Linked DNA regions of Rattus norvegicus. The main gene of each other region encodes a partner of the protein of the gene in region 2 in a complex. Links are inferred from orthologs where the notes say so. Each region holds a gene or a part of one and is shown on either strand. Other genes may lie near its edges. The genes, in order: Asdurf and Pdrg1.

What was found.
Region 1: Pdrg1 (region 2) and Asdurf share a complex: the UniProt entries of both Homo sapiens proteins name them as parts of the PAQosome complex. The link is inferred for Rattus norvegicus from reciprocal best matches to the Homo sapiens genes PDRG1 and ASDURF.

The regions. Positions count from the first base shown.
Region 1 is NC_086027.1:55,617,072-55,621,635, reverse strand, and holds the start of Asdurf (ASNSD1 upstream open reading frame protein), read right to left. Parts: upstream 2,838-4,564; 5' UTR 2,781-2,837; coding exon 2,691-2,780; intron 1,103-2,690; coding exon 1,049-1,102; intron 1-1,048.
Region 2 is NC_086021.1:161,941,030-161,945,348, forward strand, and holds the start of Pdrg1 (p53 and DNA damage-regulated protein 1), read right to left. Parts: upstream 2,953-4,319; 5' UTR 2,920-2,952; coding exon 2,833-2,919; intron 1,674-2,832; coding exon 1,598-1,673; intron 253-1,597; coding exon 178-252; intron 1-177. UniProt on the Homo sapiens protein: May play a role in chaperone-mediated protein folding.

The DNA.
Region 1 (4,564 bases), on a different chromosome or scaffold from region 2:
AGAACTGACAGTGGTTCTTAATCATTGGCAATGAAGTCTGTATTCTGCTTTCTCCTGTGTTGTGCTATGAGAGCACCTACTATGTCACAGTCCATTCACTCCATCATACAGCACCAATATTCCTAGCCACCCATGAGTGGTGTCCCAGGGTCATGACAATCATGTCCTTGCACTGAAAGTCCATGCTTCAGGCCGCAGTACCCATGACATGCTAATAAAAAAGAAGAATGCGACTTGCACAGTGATGTTGAACAGGATCCTCTTATCACCCACTCTTGAACTTCAGGAATATTCAGAAGAGTGATTACCACAGATAAACAAAGTCACTGATCACTATGCCACCCAGAGACGGTTGTTTGCTTCACATGTGTCATCACACCATAGTCTTTCAAATAACAAAGGCTATCACAGCAACAGGTTTATAATTTAGTTCATAAACGAATAATACATGGAGATCTTTTCTGACCAAGGAAGGTTCTTTTATATCACCACATTGGTACAATGTATAGTTCTTTACTGCCTTCAAGCTCAGTCATTTACTGTTCTGTCAACTCTTCACTACAGATGCTGGCAAGTACCTTTGCAGGTAAACACGCATTCATCCTCACAACTGCTTCCACACCGGTTACTCTGAAGTGTCATACAGCATTTACTCATTTTGCCAGTTTGATCTCCAAAAATTTCTGTATTAATTTGCCCTAGCATCTAATATTTCACAAATGACAATATCAGAAATGTCGATTATTAGTTAATTGTAGCTGATTTATTAACACATTTATTTAAAAGCCATGAAATGGGTTAAGTATTTGGAATATTAAAGTTTTCTATGGAAAACTTCATTCTTTTTTGTTAAAATATAATTTTTTCATCTTTGAGATCTACTGACTTATACAGGAAGAACAAATTTAAAACATGCAAAACCAAATGAGGATATCACTTTAGTTTTTAAATTACGATGTTTGAATTTTGCAATGTTAGCATAAATAATCTAAATCATAATTTTAATATTATATATATATATACTATTCAGATTCCCACAGCAACTTACCCGATTCTTCTTCAGGTTAGAAAGTTCATCCACAATAACTTTCTGTTCTTTAATCTATTAAAGTAAAGAAAAAAACCTAAAGTGGAAGTTTTCAAACTATGTTTAGTGAGCACATTTTTAGCAACTGCTTTAAAACAAAACATGGGACTGGGGCCTGTCATGGACTGCCTGTCTAAATGGATACTGTACAGATGCAACCACACTCAGGCTGGAACCAGTAGAAGACAGCTGGAGAAAGAAGCTGACTTAGACTTGCCAGGCGCCAGTTACCACAGCTCACATCTTTAACCAGGGTGAGACACTGTCTAGCCAAATTAATACCAATCTTTTAATTTTATAAGGCCTGGCTGTAGACTAAAAAAGAGAAATGAATGTGGCTTCTCCTCTTTACCAATAGCCAGTGGTTTTATGATGTATGCACTGGATGACAGCCAGACATTCGGATAAAATGAACGGAACGGTACTGAACGAACGCCCTTCCTGCAGTGGTACAACATCATCTCCCACCCTTGTATCATTCTATTTTGAGTATTAAGGACAGCATACTGCTGGTATCCTTAAGCTCAGTTTGTTCCTTATCATCAGATGAAATGCCCAAATAGGCAATAAGTCTACACTGACACAGCTACACAGTGCCAAGAGGCTTGCTATGGCAGTAGCCAGAGTATTCTGAAAACTCATCCCCACCCAAATGAGTGTGCATGGGCAGTGCTAAGAGCTGTACTAACATACGACAAAGCTACATTGAGTACACCCTCCCTGAGATTCAAGGCTGCTTGTACAGCGCTTTTATGCTCACTACAAACGACAGGTATATAATATATCTCACTTTAGGTGACACCACAGAATACTGTGGCACACTGGAAATAAGGCAATGTACTGAAGATGTCATACAGGACAGAAAAAAAATATGGAATTCAGGATGTTTAATAACTGAAAAGGCTGCACCCACACCCCCTCCAATCCACACGTTTAAAGATTTTTGTCTGTAACTGGAAGTTGAGATCACTGTACAGTTCAGGTATGGGGTTGCCTCCCTGAAATCCTGACTATTAGGCAAGAGAATAATTCAAGGTGATCCTCAAACAATATTTGAGGCTGGCCTGAGCTACTTATGAAACCCTATCCCAAAAAGAGGAAGGGAAAAAATTAATCTGCTACAGTCCTGGTTGAATAATAAAGAGATGACCAAACTGATGTTTTTAGGATCACTTAAAGGTGAGAATATATTTTAAGGTCAACAGGCAACTGATAACTTCGGTTAAGAAAATTTTGCCTGAGTCTGGAAGAACGGGCAGATTTCTAAACTTTCATGATGGACGTCATGGATGGCGTCCAGGCGGGTACATGGCTAAATGGATGAAGCACAGCCAACGAGCAACAGATCACATGTGTGAAGGGTTCCGAGAGGAGAGTGGTGCAAACGCGTAAAGGAAAAACGTCATTAAGACCTCTGTCTCAGTATCACTGTTGTTTGCAGTGGATAAATCTGTGCCTCCATCATAGCAAATCTGCAGGACGCAGGGGAAACCAGCGGCCGGTGCTGAGAATGGACCGGTGAGGCTACTGGGCACCGATGCGACCGCGGGACCCGTTTCCCGCCGCCCGCCGCCCACCGCCCATCCTCGGCGTCCCACGGCACCTTACTGCTAAGGGCCTCGGCGTGCGCGGTCGATGTGCGGGTGGGTCCCGGCGCGGCGCTGTCTCCGGGGTGCTCCGCACCGCTAGGCATCGCCACGCCGCACCGAACGGAGGAACCGCGGTGGATGAAACAGCAGGCGGCAGGCCCAACCGGAAGCCAGTGTTCCTTTCAGGACCCTGCCCCTTCCGGAACCTCGACCAATGGAGTGCGCATATTTACGCCTGCTCAGTAGCAGGCGTGGATACTAGATCCTGGAACTCCGACTTTAAGTAGCTGTGCATCAGCGCACATTAGTTTTGGCTAAAGGTTCGTCTGGCTTGGCTGGAGAGTCTATGAATGGTCTGTGTTGCCCCCTAGCGGATGCTATGTAAAAATAAATCACTAATCAGTAGTGTGCCTAACACTGTGGTCTTGGCTTTTTTTTTTTAATTTTTTAAATTGGATATTTTTATTTACATTTCAAATGTTATTCCCCTTTCCGGTTTCCCATTCATAAACACCGTATCCCATCCCCACTTCCCCTTCTTCTATGAAGGTGTTCCCCGTCCCCAACCACCAACCGCTTCCCACCTCCCCACCCTGACATTCCCCAACAATGAGGATCCAGCCTTGGTAAGACCAAGGACTTTTCCTCCCCTTAGTGCCCAACAAGGCCATACTCTGCTACATATGCAGCTGTAGCCATGGGTTTGTCCATGTATATAGTCTTTGGATGGTGATTTAGTCCCTGGAGCTCTGGTTGGTTGGTATTGTTGTTCTTATGGGGTTGCAAGCTCCTTCACCTCCTTCAATCCTTTCTCTAACTCCTCCAATGGTACCCCGTTCTCAGTTCAATGGTTTGCTGCTAGCATTTGCCTGTGTATTTGTAATGCTCTGACTGAGCCTCTCAGGAGACAGCTGTATCAGGCTCCTGTCAGCATGCACTTCTGGGCATCAGAAATATTGTATGTTTATGGGCTGGAACCTCAGGTAGGGCAGGTTCTGAATGGCAATTCCTTCAGTCTCTGTTCCAAGCTTTGTCTCCATATCTCCTCCTATGAATATTTTTACTCCCCCTTTTAAGAAGAACTGAAGCATCCACAGTTTGGTCGTCCTTCTTAAGCTTCATGTGGTCTGTGGATTGGATCTTGGGTAATTCGAGATTTTTGGCTAATATCCACTATCAGTGAGTGTGCATACCATGTGGTTTTTTTTTTTTTGTTTTTTTGTTTTTTGTTTTTTTTTTTGTGATTGGGTTACCTCACTAGGGATGATATTTTCTAGTTCCATCGATTTGCCTATGGATTTCATGAAGTCATTATTTTTGTAGAAATATACCACATTTTATATCCATCCTCTGTTGAGGGTTATTTGATTCTTTCCAGCTTCTGGCTATTATAAATAAGGCTACTGTGAACATAGTGGAGCATGTGTCCTTGTTATACGTTAGAGCATCTTTTGGGTATATGCCCAGGAGTGGTATAACTGGGTCCTAAGATAGTACTACTTCCAATTTTCTGAGGAACCTCCAGATTGATTTCCAGAGTGGCTGTACCAGCTTGCAAACCCACCAACAATGGAGGAGTGTTCCTCTTTCTCCACATCCATGTCAGCATCTGTTGTCACCTGAGTTTTTGTTCTTAGCCATTCTCACTGGTGTGAGGTGGAATCTCAGGGTTGTTTTGATTTGCATTTCCCTGATGACTAAGGATGTTGAACATTTCTTTAGTTACCTCTTAGCCATTTGATACTCCTCAGTTTAGAATTCTTTGTTTAGCTCTGTATTCCATTTTTTAATAGGGTTATTTGTCTCCCTGCGGTCTAACTTCTTGAGTTCTTTGTATATTTTGGATATAAGCCCTCTATCAAATGTAGAATTGGTAAAGATCTTTTCC
Region 2 (4,319 bases):
TGACCAATGAGATTCTGGCAGAGAGTGGCCTTATTTTCAAACAGAAAGCAAAGGCCCATATGGAAGAAGCCCTTTGCCTTTCCCCAGCCTAATACAGTTTTGGTTCTCAGTGCTGGATTATGATTCAGACTGGGGGGAAGGTAGCCATGTCCTTGACCCCTCTTCAGGACACCTTACCTTTCTGGATCATTTCCTTCGTCTTAAGGTGAGGCATTTTGATGAACATGTTCCCAAAGCAAACCATCACGTCTTCTGAAACAGCAAACAGACATTTCTTCATGTTTTGTTTTTCCCTTTTGAAGCACCTATCATCTGACAGGCACTGTTCAGATGCTAAGAACATAGCAGAACAAGACAGTTCATGCTCTCGTGGAAATCACGTCATAGCAAAAGATGGGGAGTGAGCGAAGCTGTTTTCCACACACCGCTTAAGAACTAGCATGGAAACCTGTAGTGGCAGTTTTGGCATTTTTGTTTCTTTAAAAACAAACAAATAAACAAACACAGAAATCCTGTAAGAATTATGTCTTCCTTATAATCCCAGGTGTGGGATATGGGGAGCTCAGAGAGACTGAGCACAGCAGCTGACTGTGGTTTGCCTCATGCTCTGGCATGATTTTGCCAGCTGCAGATAGTTTCTTCGAGTGTGTGATGTTTGGAATTCTGAGGGCTTTTGAGAGGGTGTAATAACGCTAGGTGCCCCCTTTCCAACCCCCCTGACTTTATTCAAGGATCTCTTTTCTTCATCCTTTTTTCTCTCTTATCTAGTGTTGGGGGTTGAAAAGGTGGAAAAGTTGGGGGAGAAGGGTGGAAGAGCCCAGAGTGTGGCAAAAGGACCAGTTAATTAAACAGACAGACAAAAAACCCAACAACAACAACAAAAGCTGTTTAAAGAGCTGGGAATTGTCAGAGGACTGATGTGTTGAAAGTTGGTATGAGACTTCTATGTAGATGTGACATTCAGGCACAGAACTGAGGAAAGGGAGGACACTACACTTACAGACATGTGGGAAAACAGAGCCAGGCTAACAACCAAGGGACCAGTGAGTGAGCAGGAGAGTCAGGGCTAATAGGGGTGTGGGGCTGGGTCATGGGGAGTCCTGCAGGACAGCTCTGGGTTTCACTCAGGTGAGATAAGCCAGTGGAAGCCCTACATGTCAGCCTTCACTATGGCCTGGATGCTGCCCTCCTTTCCAGAACTGCTTCATGTCAGACCTCTGCTTGCTACCACCAGCCACAGCCACCTGGCCTCAATACCCACCCATGGCCTCTCACCATTTTCAGTTATGTGTCTATGCTGCTTTTCCTCATGTGGAACATAAGGGCAGAACTATTGCTTTTTATGTGCCGTGAGCACTCTCTGTATCTGCCGTCAGTGAGTGATGAGCTAATGGCCTGTCGCTGAAGTGAGCAGCTAAATTCTGAGTCACAGCATATGTCTGACCTGCAACACTGGCTTGCTCTTCTCCACAAGCTGTCTTAGTTCCCCATGAGGGTGAGTCACACAGTCCCAGCCTCCTGCCTGGCTGGTCTTTACCAGGGATAATGAAGTCCCTGAACCAGCTTCCAGGGCTTCAGTAAGGATGCCACAACTTACCAGAGACACTCGGGTCTTTCTGTAGGGCCCTCAGGCCCTCTCGGTTCTGATTCCTCTTGGTGTCCAGGTCTACAATCTGAAAACAGGAGCAGATGGGAACTCAGCTGCCTCCTGCCCCAATCTGAAGAAACAAGGTATCGTTTCTGGTGAAGTTCCAATGTCTTGCCTGACATGGACGACTCAGGTGTGAACGTTCTTCTTTACCCACTTGGTTTCCAGCTCCTCTGTTTGTATGGAGCTTTCCTCCTCCACAGAAGGTGGTGGGAAAATGTTTGCAGATTGAGCCACTTTGTATCATCCACTCAAACTTGAGAGTATACCGGGGTCACCAGGGAGTTAGTTGAGTGTCTCCTCTAGACAGTGACTATTGACAAGCTCTTGTTAAGTAACTCTGACAGTCTCACCAGACATTCAACCATACTGGACTGGAGCAGCTGTTGCACCGTACCACTATGACAACTAACTGCTCAAGAGGCGACTTTCTGGGGCTGCAGCTAGTGAACCATCAAGCCTTTTCAAATATAGATCACGAAGAGTCATTACGGTCATTATGGTAGCTTCTGAAGACCACCAAGTATATGTCTCACCCCATCATTCCCATCTTGTCTAAATCCAGATCATCTGGATCAGCTAAATGGCTCGCTGCACTCTAGGAAGGAGCCAGAGAGAGACTTTTAAAATCTAAATGCACACCTGTAATCCCAGAACTCAGGACACTGACAAGGACATACCACGGGTTGTTCAAGGCTGTCTTAGGCGACACAGTGAGTTCGAGAAGTCTGAGATACATGAGATCCTCTAAAGTTTAGTCTAAACCAACCGATCAATCTATCAGTCACTATTCAATGATAACATCCCCAGGACGAACTCCCTTTAGGGACTACTTACCACAGAACCAGAGCCAAGCACCCCTTTCGGGTCTACGAAGCCTTCAACCAAGCCGCCGCCCCCCACGCACACGCACACGCACATCAGTGTACTGCCCAGACACATCCTGCCCATGTCTCAACAACCTGATTCAAGATGGGCCTGGGACTGCGTTTGGAAAGTGGTGTCAGGGATCCGGGGGACCAGCAATGACGGGGCAGGGTGAAAGGAAGGCAACTGCCCAATACAGAACTGACTGGCGCTCACTAGGCACCAGGCCGCTAGGAGCAGTGACGCCGGGAGGCCCGGTGATCACCCTGCGACGCCGCGCACTTGCGTAGGGCGCTCGCGGCCGCCGCGTCTCTCACCTGCCGCTTGTCTGAGAGCACTGCCTCTGCCAGCTCCTCCACTTCGACCAGGTACCGCAGCACTCGATCCGCCTCGGGGGACACCATGGTGCCACAGACCTCTTCCGACACTCGCACTACTACTTCACCCCAGCTCCTTCCGCGCACGCGCCGTTCTGGGACTTCCGGCAAGCCTGCGCAGTGAAAAGAACATGCGCCTCAGCTGGGCTCCAGAGGGGAGGGTCAGGCTTTGGGAGCAGGGAAGATGCGCCCCCTGCAGGCTCTGATCGAGCAGCCCAACGCACTGCCCTTTCCCCTCCCTTCAAAGGGTTCCTGGGCATCCACCATAAACCAGGTTGGGTGTCGGGAAGGCGGCTGCAAAAGAAGCATCCCGGCTCTAGGAACGTCATTCCATTGGAAAACAGCAAACACTGACAGCAAAATAATTACACATTATGGGAGGTAGCGATAATGGCTTTGGAGACACAGAGATCATAAAGTCCAGTTTAACATCGCCAAGAAACTGAGTGTGGCAAAGAGACTCATATTTTAACCCGCGACACTTTCAGCTTCCAGTTTGTAAATAATGGGTATAGAAATTCCCCGCACTGACTCTCTCTGTCTCTCTGTCTCTGTCTCTGTCTTTCCTGTCTCCCCCCCCCGCCCCCACCACCACGGAAGACAGAAAGGAAGCAGAAATCATTTTAAATTACATCTGGTTGCAGCGTTTGTTGAATCTAATGTCCACAGTAGCAAGCCAAGATTCACAGAAGGAGCTGGAAACTGTCCAGGGTGAGCAATGAAGTGTCAGTAAGATCTGAAGAGTGAATTAGGATCCTGGACTTCCGGGGGGTGGGGGTGGGAGGGTGATGACTGCCCGACAGAACCAGAGGGGTCCCCCAATCTCTTACTGTACATTTGCAAAGCTGGAGGCTTAGAGGCGGGCTACCTCACCCATCCTCTTGTTTTTCCGTGTGTGGAACTGGAATTACCCCAGTGCCTCTCAAGCGCTACACCTGAGCTATATCTCATCTGTTTTCTTTTGTGTGAGTGTATGTGTGTGGTGCATGCATATAAGGGTACTCTGTGCCCCTGCAGAGACAAGCAGAGGCCAGAGCAGGGTGACAGGTGTCTTCCTTTGACATTCTCCACCTTATTGTCATGAAATAGAGCCTCTCGTTGAAACGGAAGCTCTTTTGGGTTAGGCAGCCTAGACTTGGGGCTCTCTGGATCTGCCTGTGGCTGTTTGCTCCCCAATGCTGAAGTGACAGGCCCACACAACCATGTCTGGATTTTTCTGTAGGTGTTTGGGATTCAAACTCAGATCCTCATTCTGAGTGTAAAGTGAACACTCCTCACTCACTAAGCCACCTCCCCAGCCCTAAGACTCAACTCTGACATCCATTTTTTAGTCTCCTTTTTTGACTCTGGGTAACTTAGCCCATTCATATTCTTGGCCTCACTTGAATTTCATGGCCACTTTTGTAGAGACCGGATTACGACTGTTT